Caenorhabditis elegans: one gene and its partners. The protein of the gene in region 3 purifies or fractionates together with the protein of the main gene of each other region. This does not show direct contact. Each region holds a gene or a part of one and is shown on either strand. Other genes may lie near its edges.

Region 1 (8,583 bases), on a different chromosome or scaffold from region 3:
TGAACCGAGAAAAAGTTGAAAATTTGCCTATTTTACACTGAAAACTCTAAAAAAGATTCAATTTTCTTTCAGTTTTCCCGAATTTCTGCTCTAAAAACTAAAAATTATCGATTTTTGCAGTATAACATCTAGAAAATCAACAATTTGACAATTTTAAACTGAAAAAAAGTAAAAATTCGGCCTTTTTTATTTGAAAACTCAAAAAAATCTTATTTATTCCTCTAAAAACCAAAAATTATTGATTTTTGCTATAAAACACTCGGAAAATCAACAATTTGACAATTTTTAATAGAGAAAAAATTAAAAATTTGCTTATTTTACACTGAAAACTCTAAAAAAGAATATGTTTTCTTTCAGTTTTCCCGAATTTCTGCTCTAAAAACTAAAAATTATCGATTTTTGTAAAAAAATCTCAATTTGACAGTAAAAACTCATATTTCACACTGAAAACTCCAAAAAAACTCAATTTTCTTTCAGTTTTCCCTTACAAAAAGCACAATTTGGGTTGTATCTACAACGTCATTGATCGCCTTCCTTCCATACATTATCGAAAAGGAACGAAGTGATTTGGAAAAGACTCAAGTGGCTCAGCAACGTCAAATGCTTCTCGGACCATCTGCGGCCATTCAACAAGCCAAAACTGCTTGAAAAACTTGATTTTCTCGCCGAAAATCCCCCTTAAAACCGTCTGAAATTGATCTTTTCCTAGATTTTCCCCTGTTTTTCGTCTTCTGATAGCTTTTTTTGCGATAGAATTCATTATCATATAAATTGTTGATTTTCTAACATTTTTCAAGGATTTTTCTAGCACAATATCCCGGTTTTTTCATCCAAAACTTGTATTTTTATCGATTTTTTTGACGTTTTTCACTTTTTCCAGGTAAAAATCCGAATTTTAAGCTTTAAAAAGCCTTAAAAAACACAAAAATTGCAAATTTTCGCGCTGAAAGTCGCATAAAATTGAATTTTTATAATTTCTGTTCGAAAAATCTTCAATTTTTCGCTGAAAAATTTTTTCCCTGGCAAAAATTCAAATTTTGGGTCTGCTAGGCTACAAACTACAAATTTCGATTTAGCAGACCCGATTTAGAAGAAAAAACGAAGAGTTTTCAGTCTAAAAAGCTTGAAAAATAGCCTTAAAACTTGATTTTTTCGCTTTTTTATTGAAAAAAAACAAAATTTATCATTTTTATCCCAGAAAATCGCTGAAAACCCCGAATTTCGCCTATTTTCTTCGTTTTCACCCAATTTTCTTCAAATTTTCGCAATTTTCAGCTCATTTCCATTATCTAAATTTTTTGCAGCACTGTATTCGGGTTATTTCATCCAAAATGCGTATTTTTATCTTTTTTTCTTGTAGTTTTTCACTTTTTTTCAGGCAAAAATATATGAGACATCGAATTTTAAGCTTTAAAAATGCTTAAAAACACAAAAATCGTCAATTTTTGCACTAAAAGTCCCAAAAACTTCAATTTTTCTAATTTTTATTCGAAAAATGTTCAATTTCTCGCTGAAAAATTGCTTTAAAAAAATTTAATTCTGAAAATTTTTGGTCTGCTAGACTACAAACTACAAATTTCGATTTAGCAGACCAATGTGATTTTTAAGAAGAAATTACGAGTTTTCACTTCGAAAAGCTTGAAAAATGGTCTTGAAACTTGATTTTTCCTGTTTTTTAATCTAAAAAATTAAAAATTTAGCATTTTCAGCTCGGAAAATCGCTGAAAACCCCGAATTTTTGCTATTTTTCCTTGTTTTCACCTTATTTTCTTCAAATTTTCGCAATTTTCAGCCCGTGTCCACCGTCTAAAAGCTCCCAAAATGGATCCAAAACCCATAAACGAAGGAATGTTACTGGAGGATCATGATCATGGAATGCCTGAAGAAGAAGAAATAACAGAAGATGATATGAATGGAATTCATAATATAGAAGAGGATACACGAACAATTAGTGAAATAGCAATGGAGCTTCATCATCCGAATAAAAGTCAAGTTTTACTTGATCAGGAACGATTTTTGCCAATTGGTATGGGAAAACATGCGGAAATTTTGATGAAAATCGATAAATTCCCGGAATTTTACACGAAAAATTGAAATTTCTTGAAAAATCTAGACTGAAAAGTGAAAAAATTCATAAATTTCCGATAAAAACCGCCATTTTTTCTAAAATTGCCCTTTAAAATGAAAAAATATCACATGGGTCTGCTAAATCGAAAATTGTAGTTTGTAGTCTAGCAGACCAATTTTGTTCAAAATCACTTTGGTCTGCTAAATCGAATTTTGTAGTTTGTAGTCTAGCAGACCAAACTTCTTCAATATCTATTGGTCTGCTAAATCTAAACTTGTAGTTTGTAGTCTAGCAGACCAATTTTGTTCAGAACAACAATGGTCTGCTAAATCGAATATTGTAGTTTGTAGTCTAGCAGACCAATTTTTTACAATTTTTTTTTCAAAAACATAAATTTTCGACAAAAATCGATTTTTTTTGTAATTTTTTTTTCAAGAATTGAAAGTTTCTCTGCAAAAAGGCATCAAGCTCGAGATTTTTCAATTTTTTTAAAACAAAAATCGTTGAAAATTCTCCAAAAATCCCAATTTTTTCAGCTAACGTGGTCCGAATCATGAAAACTCAAATGGATCCGCAGGCGAAATTGGCAAAAGACGCAAAGGAGTGTGCTCAAGAGTGTGTTTCAGAGTTTATAAGCTTTATCGCTTCGGAAGCCGCTGAAATATGCAATATTACGAAGCGGAAGACTATTACTGCAGGTAAAACCGGGAAACTCCGTCTAAAATTACCCGCAAATCGTCCAAAAACTACAATTTTCGCATGGAAAACCTTTTTAAAAACTCAAAAACAGCCCAAAAGCCCAAAAAACCCTAAAAACCGCAATTTTCAATATAAAAAAATTTCCAGACGACCTGCTCACCGCGATGGAAGCCACAGGATTCGACAATTACGCGGAGCCAATGCGAATTTTCCTTCAAAAGTACCGTCAGGCTCACAAGATCACTGGACCAATTCACAGAACACACCCAGACTACGTACGGCCTCCACAATTTCAAATGGATCCTTTTGTTCGGCCATTATTCTTCGATACGGAGCAAGGACGCAGATGTTCGTGTGTGAAAATCGGAAAATTTTGCCTGAAAATAGATTAAATTGATGGAAAAATAGAAAAAAAAACTGGAAATTTGACTGGAAATGGATTAAATTTATGGAAAAAATAGTAAAAAACTAGAAATTTCACAGAAAATAGACTAAATTAGTGGAAAAAAATAGAAAAAACGAAATTTGACAGAAAATAGACTAAATTTATGGAAAAAATAGTAAAAAACTAGAAATTTGACAGAAAATAGACTAAATTTATGGAAAAAAATAGAAAAAACGAAATTTGACAGAAAATAGACTAAATTTATGGAAAAAATAATAAAAAACTAGAAATTTCACAGAAAATAGACTAAATTTATGGAAAAAATAATAAAAAACTAGAAATTTCACAGAAAATAGACTAAATTTATGGAAAAAATAGAAAAAACCGGAAACTTGAAATTTAGACTAAGAATTGTTTTTTTTTCAAAGATTGAAGTACTGAGAATGATGATTTTTCATTTAAAAAAATTGTCAAAACTCTGAATTTTTTGCTGAAAAATATTCAGAAGCCGAAATAATAGTAAAAAAACGGTGAAAATTGCATTTTTTCCACATAAATCTCAAAAATTCATTTTTCAGTTTTTTTCAACTACAGTATCCTTTGAAGTCATAGAAAAAATTACAAGATTCGCAGAAAACTCGAAAAAATCATAATTTTAACGCTAAAAACTTAAAATTCAGAATTTTTGGCTTTTAATTTCGGCTTCTGAGTATTTTTCAGCAAAAAATTTAGAGTTTTGACACATTTTTAATGAAAATTATCATTCTCAGTGCTTCAAGCTTTGAAAAATTAATGGGAAGAATAGTAAAAACCTGAACAAAAATGGTTTTCTCTGGAAAAATTCCTAAAAATTTTTTTCAGAGCTTGAAGCACTGAGAATGATGATTTTCCTTTAAAAATTTGTCAAAATTCTAAATTTTTTGCTGAAAGTTGCACAAATTCTTAATTTTGAATTTTTAGCGTTAAATATATGATTTTTTCGAGTTTTCTACGAATCTTGCAACTTGTTCTATGACTTTCAAGGATACTATAGTTAAAAAAAAACTAATAATGCATTTTTAAGATTTATATGGAAAAATTGCAATTCTCACCGTTTTTTTCCCAAAATTTTGAATTTTTCGCGAAACTCAGCAGCTTTGCATAGTAGTTTCAAGCGACTTTTTTTCGGAAAAATACCGAAACTTGCTCTGAAAATGCCATATAACTCCTATAAGGATTACTGTAGTTTCTCTACAAAAATAAATTTCTGTGACTCATGTCCTTCTATCCAAATTGATGGCTGGAATATCGGTATTCTCGGCTGAAACATGCAATAAATACCGTATTCCAACCAACAATTTGTGCAATAGAGCACATTTGTCACCGGAGATGCGGAAGCTATGCCCAAATTTTCAATTTTTCTAGGAAAATGATGAAAAAAATTGCAATTTTCCAGGTACCGAGACTCAATACGTGATAAATGGCAGTGAAATTGTGAAAAATGCTCCATTGGGAGAAGAATGGAATGAGCAAACTGGTACATTGAATACCCGCGCAGATGGATATTATATGGAGGTGAAAATTGGATTTTCTGGATGGAAAACTGTGGAAAAATGGATTTTTCCACTAAAAACCTGAATTTTTAACTCAAAAATTGATTTTTTTAACTCAAAAATTGAATTTTTAATTCAAAAATTGAATTTTTAATTCAAAAATTGAATTTTTAACTCAAAAATTGAATTTTTAATTCAAAAATTGAATTTTTAACTCAAAAATTGAATTTTTAACTCAAAAATTGATTTTTTAACTCAAAAATTGATTTTTTAACTCAAAAAATTCGATTTTTCAGGAGCCAATGGAGCCGATGCCGATGGAAGAAGTAGAAATTGAAGAACACGAGGAAATTATTGAGCAAGATTCACTTGGAGCCATCGCCTTGGAGCAACAAGGCCAAATGCAGATTTATGTGGATCCAAAGACGAAACAACATTTTGCAGCGAAAGAAAGTACGGAATTTTTTATGAAATTCTGAATTTTCCAGCGTGAAAATTGGAAAAATTGAGAAAAATCGATTTTTTTTTGTGAAAATTCCGGAAAAATCGAAGTTTCGCCGATTTTGTGGCGTTTCCAGAAAATTTCTCATTTTTTTCCTTAAAAATTAGAAAAATTAGATTTTTACAGCACAAAAAAAACAGAAAATTGAAATTTTCTTGATTTCCAGCTCAAAAATTGGAAAAAATGGTTTAAAACCGATTTTGAACGGAAAAAATCTAGGAAAATCGATTTTTTTTTTGGTGAAAACTTCAGAAAAAATCGAAATTTCGTCAACTTTTGTGGATTTTACTGAAAATTCCCTATGTTTGCCGTAAAGATTAGAAAAAATTGGTCCAGATTTGATTTTTACAGCAGAAAACTAGAAAATTCAAATTTTTTTTGATTTTTAGCATAAAAACTCGAAAAAATTGGTTTTAATTTGATTTTCTACCTGAAAAATCCGAGAAAATCGATATTTTCCCGATTTTTATATTAAAATTTGTGAAAATTGACATTTTCTCGATTTTTCTGAAAACAATTGTGAATTTTCTCGATTTTCTGTCAAATATCTAAGAAAATGTTTTTAAATAATTCCGGAAAAGCAAATTTCAGCTCCGAATGGCATGGAACTCTACCCTCTGATCATCCAGGACACCCCACTGCAATTGGAAAATGTTTCTGGGCCAAATGTACGATTTCCAGCACTTTTCACAGCGAATTTCAGATTTTTAGTGCGAAATTCGAATTCAGCGCCTCAATTTACCCCCAGAACCCTGTTTCCCCGTCTTCTAGCTCAACATTTTGAATATTTCGGGTTACTGTAGCCCCAAGAGTACGCAAACACCGACTACTGTAACCCAAAGCACCAGATTTTACGGCATTGGCGAATTTCGAGCTGAAAATTGATTTGACGGGGTAAATTGGAGTGCTGAATTCAAAAATCGTATTTAAAATTTCAGAAAATTTGATTTGAAAATCGGAAATTTTGAAATTTTCAGACAAATTTTTTTTTGGGCAAAAACCTTGTAATTTTGAAATTTTAATGCGAAATTCGAATTCAGCGCCAAAAATTACCTTCATTTTCCTTTTCCCCGTGCTTCTAGCTCAAAGTTTGAATATTTTGGGTTACTGTAGCCCCAAGAGTACGCAAATACCGACTACAGTACCCCAAAACACCAGATTTTACGAAATTTGCGAATGTTGAGCTGAAAATTGATTTCCCGGGGTAAAATTGGAGTGCTGAATTCGAAAATCGTATTGAAAATTTCAGAAATTTTGATTAAAAAATTTTTTTTGTTCGAAATTTAATATTTTTTCAGCAATTCGTTATGAATATGCCAGATGGACGAGCAATACCCCACGGAATGGGACAAGAAGAGCCTCAGCCAGTGTCAAGTAGCTCAGTTATGCGGAAAATCGGTAAAATATTGCATTTTTTAGTGATTTTCTGTTCAAAAATGCTGAAAAATGGAGATTTTACTGGTTTTAATGGGAAAAAATCAAGTTTTTAGCATTTTTGAGCCATTTTAATCGGGAAAAAAGTGATTTTGAAGCATTTTAACCCCAATTTTCCAGTTTTATAAAATGAATTTTCCGATTAAATAAGTGTTTTCATGTATTTTCAGCTAATTTTTAGTCTTTTTTAATCGAAAAAACTGATTTTCAGCCAATTTTTCTTTTAAAAAAAGTGATTTTAGGCATTTTTGGCCTATTTTTACCTATTTTGCATATGTTTTTTTCAGAAAAATGAAATTTTTGCACATTTTCAGTCAATTTTCCCGATTTTCAGGTCAAAATCCGTCTTCCTATGCCCAGCAGCACCACCACGTCAGCCACGTGGAACAACACGATGACGTGGAATATGAAGAAGAAGAAGAAGTAGATCAAGTAGAGGAGGATACAGTACCCGTTCCAATCGCGCCGAGACCCGCAGCCACCCGAGTTCAGCCGAAACGAACGCCGACGAAGAGGAAAAAGTAGAGAAAATTGCAAAAAATGATAATTTCTCGATTTTTATTGTATTTTTCGCATTTTTTCACCCTGAAATCCCAACTTTTTGAGGAATTTTTAAAATTTTGCACTGAAAATCACCATTTTTACCGAATTTTTTATTGGATTTTTTCTCATTTTCCCTCAAAACTGAATCTGAAAACTGCAATTTTTGCAAAAATTCAATTTTCCAAAATTTTCCATTTTTCATTGATCTCCATCGTATCCATTTCCTTGACAACTTAACATATACAATTGTAATTATTTTTGAAATATTTATTCATTTATTTATTTATATCTCTAATTTATTGCAAAAAAATAAATTCAATTATACCCCAATGCCTCAGTTTTCACTTAACCACCAAAAAAATTCGTTTCAAATCGATTTTTCAATTTTTCCACACTTTTCCCATTGAATTTCAAATTTTCAATGCGAAATTCGAATTCAGCGCCTCAAATTACCCCTATTTCCTTTTTCTCCCGGCTTCCAGCTCTAATTTTAAGAAAATTGGGGTACTGTAGCTCCAGGAGTACGCAAACACTGACTACAGTACCCCAAAACGCCTGATTTTACGACACTTGCGAATTTTGAGCTGAAAATTGATTTGACGGAGTAAAATGGGGTGCTGAATTCTAAAATCGTATTAAAAATTTCTGAAAATTTTTATTTGAAAATCTGAAATTTTGAGATTTTCAGAGAAATTTTTTTTTGAGGCGCCAAACTTGTAAGTTTGAATTTTCAATGTGAAATTCGAATTCAGCGTTAAAAGTAACCCTATAGTCCGTTTCTTCCGGCTTCTAGCTCGAAATTTTAAAAATTTGGGGTACTGTAATCCCAAAAGTGCGCAAACACCGACTACAGTACCCCAAAACGCCAGATTTTACGACATTGGCGAATTTTGGGCTAAAAACTGATTTGACGGGGTAAAATAAAGTGCTGAGTACGAAAATCGTATTGAAAATTTTTGAAAATTCGATTTGAAAATCTTAAATTTTGAGATTTTCAGACAAAATTTTTTTTGGCAAAAAACTTGTAATTTTGAAATGTTTAATGTGAAATTCAAATTCAGCACCTTAAATTGGCCCTTATCCCCGGTTTCCCTGGTTTTCAACTCAAAAATGAGAAATTTTGGGTTACTGTAGCACCAAGAGTACGCAAACACCGACTACAGTCCCCCAAAACACTTGATTTCACGACATTGGTGAATTTCAAGCTGAAAATTGATGTGACGGGGTAAAATAGGATGGTGAGTTCGAAAATCGTATTGAAAATTTTTGAAAATTCGATTTGAAAATCTTAAATTTTGAGATTTTCAGACAAAATTTGTTTTTGTTTAAAAAAAAATCGAAAATTTCAAATTTCAATGCGAAATTCGAATTCAGCGCCTCAAATTACCCCTATTTCCCTTTTTCCCCGGCTTCCAGCTCA
Region 2 (4,125 bases), on a different chromosome or scaffold from region 3:
CATGTGTCGATTTACGAAATTTTTAATCTATATCGGATGCTGATTTCCGTTTTTCATTGATTAAAAAAAAATTTTTGGAGCGTTTGAAAAATCTCAAGGGTTCACAAATGAAATTCGGGGATTTCAAGCTGAAATCCAAAGTCAGTGAAATTTTTTTTTGATAGATTTTCGGAATCAGGGGAAAATTTGGAGTCATTAAAAAATATTGGTACTAGTCCTAAATCACCCCGCCACTTTTTTTATTTGTGTATTATTTCCCCTCATTTTAATATTATTCATTTTAATAAAACGTGATGTCCATTTTCCATCTTTAGGCTTAGAAATGGCTATTTCCTAAGCCTAAAAATACAAAAACTCCACACGTTTTTATTTGAAAAAAAAGAAAAAAAGTGGCGGGGTGATTTAGAACTAGTACCAAAATATTTTTCAGGTTTCGGTACTCAGCCTTTGAAAGAGTGAATTTGTTAGCTAAAATACACTCAAAATTACCTTATCAACCAAAGCAACAGCAAAATCGAATCCCTCATCAAGACAATTAACATCTGCCCCAACTTCTACAACATGCTCGCTAATATCTCCTTTTACGCTGAATATTGGCGCTTTTTTACGTCCTCCTTTTCCGTGTCTTTCGAATGTCAGCTAAAATGGATTTTTATTTTCATTTGAAAGAAGGTGCTTTAGAACAAACGTTTTTCAAATCTTTTGGCCGATTGTGCACGAATGAGGCAACGATATCAGAATCTGCAAATTCTTTGTTGGATTCCACATTTCTCACGTGGCAAGCCGTCTTCTTCGCACTCAGCTCCTCACTTGACAACCACATTTCGCCTCAAATTTAAAGATTTCAAAGTAAAAGCCTGTAAAATGAAAAACAAAGAAATAAGAAAATATATGAATGTGCATATGAAACACAGTATTTTTAGACAAAAAAGGTATAAATTCAAGCTTTTAAAGGGCGCCAGGCGCCACGAACTTAATTTTAATACATAATATAAGCAAGAAAATATTATTATAAAGATCAATTGTGGTGAGATCGGTTGACTGAAGAATTTGAAGTTCTCTGGTGAAAGTCGGAATGCATGTTGGGATCTATAAAAGGTTAAAAATTGCACAAAAATCATATTTAGGAAAAAAACCGAAAACCTTGGAAACTGTCTTCACTCATATGGCCTGGGCCGTTTGTGGAAGTTGTTGGCACCGTTTTCGGAGGTAGAAAGTCGATGAGAAAATCGAACTGATCACTTTTTTGCACTGCGCTTGCTATGTCGGCTTTTTGAAGAATTCGTCGCCTTGCTTCTGACACGTATTGCCAGCCCATTGCGGTCATTTCTTCAATGAAAAACTCGGCTGCTTGAGCCATAAATATCGGAGCATCAGACGCGATCATCTGTAAAAAGTGTATGAAGATCGGCTGGAAAATGACACTACTCACAAAGTTGCGAACATCGTCGTCTATTCGCATAATCTTTTTCACTCTAGCCATGGGAACGCTCATGTTTTTCGACTTGTTCAGCATATCCTCTTCAGAAATCTCAGTCATTTTCTGTTTTTTTTCACGCCAGAAATCTTCTGTCATTTGTCTCATCGAGGCGTACTTTGCCGGTGGTATCGCATCATTGTGATGGATTAAATTATTATAAGGATGAACCGCACCTTCTACAATAGAAGGCATATTTATTGGATGCATGTTCGGCTAAAATGAAATAAAATAAATAAGTTTTTAAAACGAGTTGATTTTATTCACCGTGTAGGGATGTTCCATGAACACTTCTGATTGATTTGTCCCATCATTTTGTATGTATTCGGCAGTTTCGTTGTTTTCGGCGTGTAAAAGCTGAAATAAATGAAACATTTGCTGGGAAGTCGAAAATTTTAAATTGTATTACTTACATTATTGTCTAAAACTTCTGGGAATTGCGACATCACGGCAGATGCAAGAAAAATTAACTTTAAACTAATTAGAAAAAAATAAATTAAAACAACACTATTCTTCTGTCGTGAAATATTGTGCATTGTGTGCACGTACACCGAGGCGGAAGATTGCGGACTCGATCAACTGCGCTCTGTTGGACACGATGACAATTTCAATTCTGATTTTCATTTCTGACGTTCTTTCCTCATGAGAACCTCGTTTTTTCAGATTTTTACATCTTATACAGATTAAAAAATGTTTTCATTCAAAACTAGATATTTTCTGAATTCCAGAACATGGTTGAACCAACTGGTCCCGCCATCGTAGAGGATGAACGCACTAAGGCGCTCAACAGCTATAGAAGAAAATTGGCAGAGTGCCGTGACATTGAACAGAAGTTGAAGGACTTGCGAAAAAAAGAAAGCGAGATGACCAAACAATTTGACAAATCCGAGAACGATATCAAGTCGTTGCAATCTGTTGGACAAATTGTAGGAGAAGTGCTCAAGCAGCTCAGTGAAGAGAAATTCATCGTCAAGGCAACCAATGGTCCTCGTTATGTTGTCGGATGCCGTCGCAGTATTAACAAGGAAGAGTTGAAGCAAGGGACAAGAGTTTCGTTGGATATGACAACTCTTACTATCATGTAAGCTTTTAGTTTTTTAAACAAAAAGTCTTAAACCGAAATGTTTCAGGCGTCAGCTGCCACGTGAAGTTGATCCGCTAGTCTACAAAATGTCTCACGAAGATCCTGGTAACATTAGCTATTCAGATGTCGGAGGACTCGCTGAGCAGATTCGCGAGCTTCGTGAAGTTGTGGAGCTCCCACTCATCAATCCCGAACTCTTTAAACGTGTTGGTATCACTCCCCCGAAAGGATGTCTGCTTTTTGGTCCACCGGGAACAGGAAAAACTCTCCTTGCTCGTGCTGTAGCATCGCAACTGGATTGCAATTTCCTGAAAGTTGTCTCGTCTGCTATTGTTGATAAATATATCGGAGAGTCTGCAAGAATGATTCGAGAAATGTTCAATTATGCTCGTGACCATCAGCCATGCATTGTCTTCATGGATGAAATTGATGCGATCGGTGGAAGACGTTTCTCAGAAGGAACATCAGCAGATCGTGAAATTCAGAGAACTCTTATGGAACTTCTCAATCAGCTCGATGGATTCGATTCGCTTGGAAAAGTCAAGGTTATTATGGCCACGAATCGTCCTGATACATTGGATCCTGCTCTTCTTCGTCCTGGAAGACTTGATAGAAAGATTGAAATCGGACTGCCAAACGAACAATCTCGCTTGGAAATTCTCAAGATTCACTCGAACAAGATCACCAAACACGGCGAAATAGATTTTGAAGCTGTTGTCAAGTTGTCCGACGGATTCTCGGCTGCTGATTTAAGAAATGTGTGCACAGAAGCTGGTGAGGAGTTGAATCATAAAAATTGCATTCAAATTATCATTTTTGTTTCAGGAATGTTTGCCATCCGTGCTGAGCGTGAATTCGTTATCGACGAGGACTTTATGAAAGCTGTTCGCAAGGTTGGAGACGCGAAGAGACTTGAGACGAAGCTCGACTATAAACCTGTCTAATTGATTTTTTCGTATTTATTGGACCTTTCCCGTTTGCATCTTTTAACCATTATCCCGTTTTCAATGTTTCCGTGTAAAAAAAGAAGATCCGAATCATAAATTATTTTTGGCTGGTTCTTGACATGGAGTAGATTTCTCGATAAATAATATTTGTAGACCCAAATAATGACGAGCCTCGTAAAAAAAATCGCGAAATATTATAGTAATTTTTCGATTCTCCAGACTTTCAAAAAAAAAATTCAATTTTATTTGGCACAAAGGCACTTTTCGTGTAAAGATTCTCAATTTATCCTGAATAAAACCCACAAAAGGTCGAAAATTGTTCGATTTTTTTCAAAGAAAATAGAAAATGAAGCTTTTCAATTAAATTTTCGTTTCAGAGCAATGGCGAGCACCAGTATAAAATCTGCAATCGCTCGTATCGGATCCATCAAGTATACAGAACTGGAGGACCTGAAATCAGTGAGCATATCCCAGGAGGAACAAGAAGCAGTTAGAGTTGAGCTGGAAAAAGAAAAGGTTTGAGCTGATATATTCTGGAATGAGATTTATACTCGGAAATGCCACTACCCCATTCAAACACAAAATGTCTGGCTCGTTAATAATATAATTAGATCGGC
Region 3 (5,436 bases):
TATGTTTGCGGAGCAGAAAACCGACGAATATGAGCTGGTCTACGACAATAATTCGCAAAATGTGCCTCAAAATTGTTCACCGAAAAATCAATATTCGCCCCCGCAATCTGTGCAACAAGCTCATTATTCGAATTTATCACATTTTCATCCTAGAAATCCAGAATTTTCACAAGAAATCGTGGAAAATCGAGTAATTTCTCCAAAATCTGAGCATCCGGAAGAAATAGAGGATCACGAAGATGATGAGGATGGCCAAAGTGAAATGGTACTGATAAAAAACCCCGATTCTAACAATTTTTGCCCTGAAAACATGAAAAATCATCAAATTTCAGCCAATAGGACGAAAATTCGTTTGGTTGAGGCTCACAGACTACAAACTACAAACCGCAATCATTTTAAATAGGATTTTATTCAATTTTCGCTTAAAAATTAATTTATACTATTAAAAAACCTAATTTTCAGTTGAAAATCGTATTAAAAAATTCGTTGAGGCTAAAAAAATTGTAGTTTGTAGTCTGTTAGCCTCACCCAAAACATTTTCGACCAAAAAAAAAACGGTTTTCCCCAATTTTTTGTATAAAAATGAGTAAAAACGGCTATTTCATGATATTTATTAACTTTTTACGATAATAACCTTCAATTTTTACGAAAAAAATTGGTTGAGGCTAGAAAAATTGTAGTTTGTAGTCTGTTAGCCTCACCCAAAACATTTTCGACCAAAAAACTGATTTTTCTGCAATTTTTTTATATGAAAATGACTAAAAACTGCAATGTATTAAGCTTATAACTCACTTTTTCAATCCTAAAACACCAAAAACTAACGCAAAACTGGTTGAGGCTAAGAAAATTGTAGTTTGTAGTCCCTGAGCCTCACCCAAAACTATTTTCGGCCGAAAAAACCGATTTTCTCCCGATTTTTCTTATAAAAATGACTAAAAACTACAATTTCATGGATTTCGCCCAACAATTTCGAATTTTCAGAAGCACAATTGCCCGGAATGCCCGAAAAAGTACACATCGGAACGACGTCTCAAGCATCATATCGTTGTACACCGCAATCCGGACGCCTATAAATGTCAAAAATGTGGATATTGCTATCAGAGCCCAGATAGTCTCCGGAGACACTGGAAGGTAGCAAAAAAATCGAATTTTCACTGAAAATTTGACAAAAAATTAATTTTTTTTTGTTGCAGAAAACTCCGAATTGTGACGAGTTTCCGCCGAAGATTAATGTGAAAACAGAGATTTTGGACCCGGATTCATGAATTTTTAAAATTTTTTTTGATTGTTATATTGTAAATTACATTTTTTTACTGTGTACTATTTCTGACACTAACTCGATTTCCCAGTGGCCTTATTCATACGCTCATTTCATTGATTTTCTCGGTGCATATTTAAATTTTTATTCAGTTTTTGATTGACAAAATTCATTTTAATTGCAATTTATATTGATTTTTCAACGATTTTCTCAGTTTTTTCCTCAAAAATTGCCCATTTTTATGCGAATACCTTCATTTTTTTTTCACCCAAAATGTGTAGTTTGTAGTGTGTGAGCCGCAACCAAAATATTGGTTGAGGCTGAGAGGCTATAAACTACAAACTGACACCGCCTCAACCAAGTTTTTTTGTTGAATTTTGAAGCTAAAATCTTTTTTCAGAGTTTTTTGTGAAAATTTTAACAAAAAAAAAAACAAAAATTCATTTGAAAATTAAAAAATGTGAAAAATTTCACGAAAAACCAAAAAAAATCCCGTTTTTAATCAGAAATCATGAATATTTTCAGATTTTTCGGATAAAAATAACAAAGTCTGTAATTTTCAACCAAAAAATGTTAATATCAGTTTTTTAGCGGAAATTATAAAAAAGATCACTTTAAAAAAATGGAAATTACGTATTTTTCCATTAAAAAGTCCGAAAACTAGCGATTTTCCAGTCGAAAAATCAAAAATTGCCTATTTTCTGCTGTGAAATACATGAAATTCGCATTAAAATTAAAAAAAAAAAACCTCCAAAAACTGATTTTTCCCTCAAAAGTCCCAAAAAATTTGGTTGAGGCTATGACATTTTGTAGTTTGTAGCCGAGGCACGCACACTACAAACTACAAAATTTTAATAATTTTTTTTCAGCATTTCCATCACAGCTTGAGTCTGCCCGTAAAAATCGTGTAAGAAACAAAATGTAAGTTTGTTGAGGCTCACAGACTACAAACTACAAAATTTTTTGTTTTTTTTTTTCAGGAATCCACGTGGAAATCCGTCGAAAATGCCGACTCAAATTGTGTTAAACAGACGTCCAGCAGCACCAGCAAGACCTCAAACAGTAGGATTTTGAAACGAAGAGACTACAAACTACAAACTACACAATTTTCAGACATTCACCTCACTGTCCCAATATCACATGTACAATACGGCGAGCACATCATCGGCTCCACCGCCACCACCAAATCGTACGTGCCCGGAAAAAAATAATTTTCTAAAAAAAAATTTTTTTTTAGAAAATTTCGGTCAAATTCGAGAAGCTATCCGAACAACTCAGCCGACAACTGTTCAACTTCCGCCGGACTGCAAAGTACTGTAGTTTACAGCTGTTTTTAGGACATTTGGACGACGTTTAAGGCCTTGAAACGGCTCATTTGACCGAGATTTTCCAAAAAAATTTGAATTTTTCGACCGAAAACTCGCTTTGAAGCTCGAAAATATTTTGGTTGAGGGTCAAAGACTACAAACTACAAAATTGCTTGGCCTCACCCAGATTGAAATTTTACGTTTTTTTGTTGTTAAAAACGCAATAATTTGCGTTTTTCATTATTTTTTAGCAGAAATTTGTTAAAAAATCGGTTTTTCCAGCCTAAAATGTTTTGGTTGAGGCTCACAGACTACAAACTACAACTTTTTCAGCCTCAACCAATTATTTTCTAATTTTTTGGCATTTTTCTCACCGAAAAATCTAGTTTTTATTATTCATACACGATTTTTCCGCCAAAACTACGGGTCTCGACACGACAATTGTTGTTATTTGAACGCAAAAAGGTATAAAAGATACTGTTCTTTCAAACTTTTGTTCCTGCGGTTTTTTATCGATTTTTTTGTAGTTTTTTCGGTTAAAAAAATTATTTATTCAATAAAAATTTCAACAAATCGTGAAAAAAAATTAAAAATCGATGAAAACTCCACAACAACAAAAATTTGAAAATACAGTAATCTTTAAAGGCGCATATCGGTTCGCGTTTAACAAAAAAAGTGTCGTGCCGAGACCCGGTACCGTATTCTTGGCACGAAAATCGCAATATTTTCGCGTCTATATAATATAACAATTAAGTTTTTAAAAGGGAAAATCACTGCAAAAATACGAAATATAATGGTTGAGGCTGCGAAAGTTGTAGTTTGTAGTCTGTGAGCCTCACCTCTGAGCCACGCCGGAATGCAAAGTACTGTAGTTTACAGCTGTTAAGGACATTTGGGACACGTTTTAGGCCTTGAAAATGCACATTTTTGAGAGTTTTTCTAAAAAAAATTTGGACTTTTTCAGCCAAAAACTCGCTTTGAAGCTCGAAAAATAATTTGGGTGAGGCTCAAAGACTACAAACCACAAAATTTCTTGGCCTCACCCAGATTAAAATTTTACGTTTTTTTTTTGTTAAAAATGCAATAATTTGCGTTTTTTCATCAGCTTTTGAAGAAAAAATTCGTTAAAAAATCGAAATTTTTTATCGAGTAAAATGTTTTGTAAAATGTTTTCGTTGAGGCTCACAGACTACAAACTACAACTTTTTTAGCCTCAACCAATTATTTCGTATTTTTTGGCGTTTTTTCTCTTCAAAAATTCAATTTTTATATAACATACACGAAATTGTGCAATTTTTTCGGCAAAACCACGGTACCGGGTCTCGTGACGATAATGTTTGTTAAACGCGAAAATGTATGCGCCTTTAAAAAGTACTGTAATTTCAATTTTCACCGATTTTTAATAGGTTCCAATAAAAAAAAAAACATATATTTACTTAATAAAACATAAATTTCTACAAATCGTGAAAAATATTAAAAAATCTATGAAAACCCACAAAAACAAAAGTTTGAAATTACAGTACTCTTTAAAGGCGCATATCTAATTCGCGTTTAACAAAAGTTATCGTGTCGAGACCCGGTACCGTATCCTTGGCGCAAAAATCGTGAAAATTTCGCGTCTGTGTAATATAAAAATTGAGTTTTTAAAGGGAAAATCACTGCAAAATTACGAAATAAACTGGTTGAGGCTAAGAAGTTTGTAGTTTGTAGTCCCAGAGCCTCACCCAATGCATTTTCGGCCGGAAAAAGCGATTTTCCTTTTTTTTTCTAATAAAAATTACTAAAAACTGCGATTTCATCAACTTTATTGCTTATTTCCAATAATAACCTTTAATTTTGACGGAAAAAAATGGTTGAGGCTGCGAAAGTTCTAGTTTGTAGTCTCTGAGCCTCACCCAAAACATTTTCGGCCGAAAAAACCCGATTTTCCTCCTTTTTTGTATGAAAATGATTAAAAAATGTAATTTCATTAGTTCTATCGCCTTTAAATCATTAAAAAAAACGGTAAATTTTATGCAAAAAAAAGTAGAGGCTAATAAATTTGTAGTTTGTAGTCCGGGAGCCTCACCCAAATCAAATCCCCATCAATTTCAGCTCGTCGAATACACGTGGCAAGAGAACGGTGAATCTCGAACGGTTTTAATTCCAATGTCGAATGATTCTACGGAAGATGACGTCAGAGTGAGAGAAAAAAAATCAATAATCAATAATTAAATAAAATAACAAAAATTTTCAGTCAGCACTTCCCCAATCGGTTCTAGAATCGATAAATCAGCATCAAAATCAGCTTAGACAGGGAAATGGTGAGGCTTAAAGGTGGAGAGACTTAGTTTTTTTTAGACCAAAATTGGTCGAAAACTACCGAATTTCGTAATGAGACGTTCTGAAAATTTCAAATTTCTCAAAAAAAAAAGTAATGGCGGTTCAAAGTTCAGCAAAATAAGGCCCATTTTCAGCTAACATAAAATCAAAATTTTTTCCAACTTCTCGGTGTTGCAACGTCTGTAACCTAATTTTTATTTATTCATCACTTTTTAATAAATATTGTGGTTTTTTACTAGGCGTTTATTCGTTGCTTTAAGTACATATACGGTCTTTGGGGCACAAATAAAAGTTACATTTGTGCCCCATTGACCATAAATGTACTTAAATTAACGAATAGACGCCTAGTAAAAAACCACAATATTTATAAAAAAGTGATGAATAAATAAAAATTAGGTTCCAGACGTTGCAACACCGAGAAGTTGGAAAAAGTTCTGATTTTATGTTAGCTGAGAATGGGTCTTATTTTGCCGAACTTTGAACCGCCATAACTTTTTTGGCAAATACTCCCGATAGTACGTTCTCTAACTCTTACCACTCTAACTCTTA

What was found.
Region 1: the proteins of nfya-2 (region 3) and nfyb-1 purify together in Caenorhabditis elegans (affinity purification with western blotting; one study listed by BioGRID). This does not show direct contact.
Region 2: the proteins of nfya-2 (region 3) and nfyc-1 purify together in Caenorhabditis elegans (affinity purification with western blotting, with the first as the bait; one study listed by BioGRID). This does not show direct contact.

Annotation. Positions count from the first base shown.
Region 1 is NC_003280.10:460,575-469,157, reverse strand, and holds nfyb-1 (Nuclear transcription factor Y subunit nfyb-1), read left to right. Parts: upstream 1-1,792; 5' UTR 1,793-1,821; coding exon 1,822-2,026; intron 2,027-2,252; exon of another isoform or gene 2,253-2,309; intron 2,310-2,604; coding exon 2,605-2,766; intron 2,767-2,914; coding exon 2,915-3,115; intron 3,116-4,587; coding exon 4,588-4,706; intron 4,707-4,980; coding exon 4,981-5,137; intron 5,138-5,777; coding exon 5,778-5,854; intron 5,855-6,484; coding exon 6,485-6,584; intron 6,585-6,954; coding exon 6,955-7,145; 3' UTR 7,146-7,491; downstream 7,492-8,583. Other genes in the region: tomm-22 (Mitochondrial import receptor subunit TOM22 homolog), read left to right, coding at 478-648; W10D9.3 (MKRN2 opposite strand protein-like C-terminal domain-containing protein), read left to right, coding at 8,399-8,401.
Region 2 is NC_003280.10:41,743-45,867, reverse strand, and holds nfyc-1 (Nuclear transcription factor Y subunit nfyc-1), read right to left. Parts: upstream 1,962-4,125; 5' UTR 1,924-1,961; coding exon 1,891-1,923; intron 1,835-1,890; coding exon 1,745-1,834; intron 1,694-1,744; coding exon 1,433-1,693; intron 1,388-1,432; coding exon 1,144-1,387; intron 1,090-1,143; coding exon 1,019-1,089; 3' UTR 951-1,018; downstream 1-950. Other genes in the region: rpoa-49 (RNA polymerase I associated factor, A49-like protein), read right to left, coding at 490-639, 689-823; rpt-4 (putative 26S proteasome regulatory subunit 10B), read left to right, coding at 2,206-2,558, 2,608-3,335, 3,387-3,505; F23F1.10 (Reverse transcriptase domain-containing protein), read left to right, coding at 3,890-4,024. UniProt on the Caenorhabditis elegans protein: Component of sequence-specific heterotrimeric transcription factor (nfya-1-NF-Y and nfya-2-NF-Y) complexes which specifically recognize a 5'-CCAAT-3' box motif found in the promoters of its target genes to regulate their expression and control cellular identity in particular tissue types.
Region 3 is NC_003279.8:11,222,709-11,228,144, forward strand, and holds the start of nfya-2 (Nuclear transcription factor Y subunit nfya-2), read left to right. Parts: upstream 1-2,127; 5' UTR 2,128-2,177; coding exon 2,178-2,179; intron 2,180-2,238; coding exon 2,239-2,320; intron 2,321-2,371; coding exon 2,372-2,447; intron 2,448-2,495; coding exon 2,496-2,569; intron 2,570-4,659; coding exon 4,660-4,746; intron 4,747-4,801; coding exon 4,802-4,868; intron 4,869-5,436. Other genes in the region: Y53H1A.2 (C2H2-type domain-containing protein), read left to right, coding at 1-265, 982-1,131, 1,194-1,265. UniProt on the Caenorhabditis elegans protein: Component of the sequence-specific heterotrimeric transcription factor (nfya-2-NF-Y) which specifically recognizes a 5'-CCAAT-3' box motif found in the promoters of its target genes to regulate their expression and control cellular identity in particular tissue types.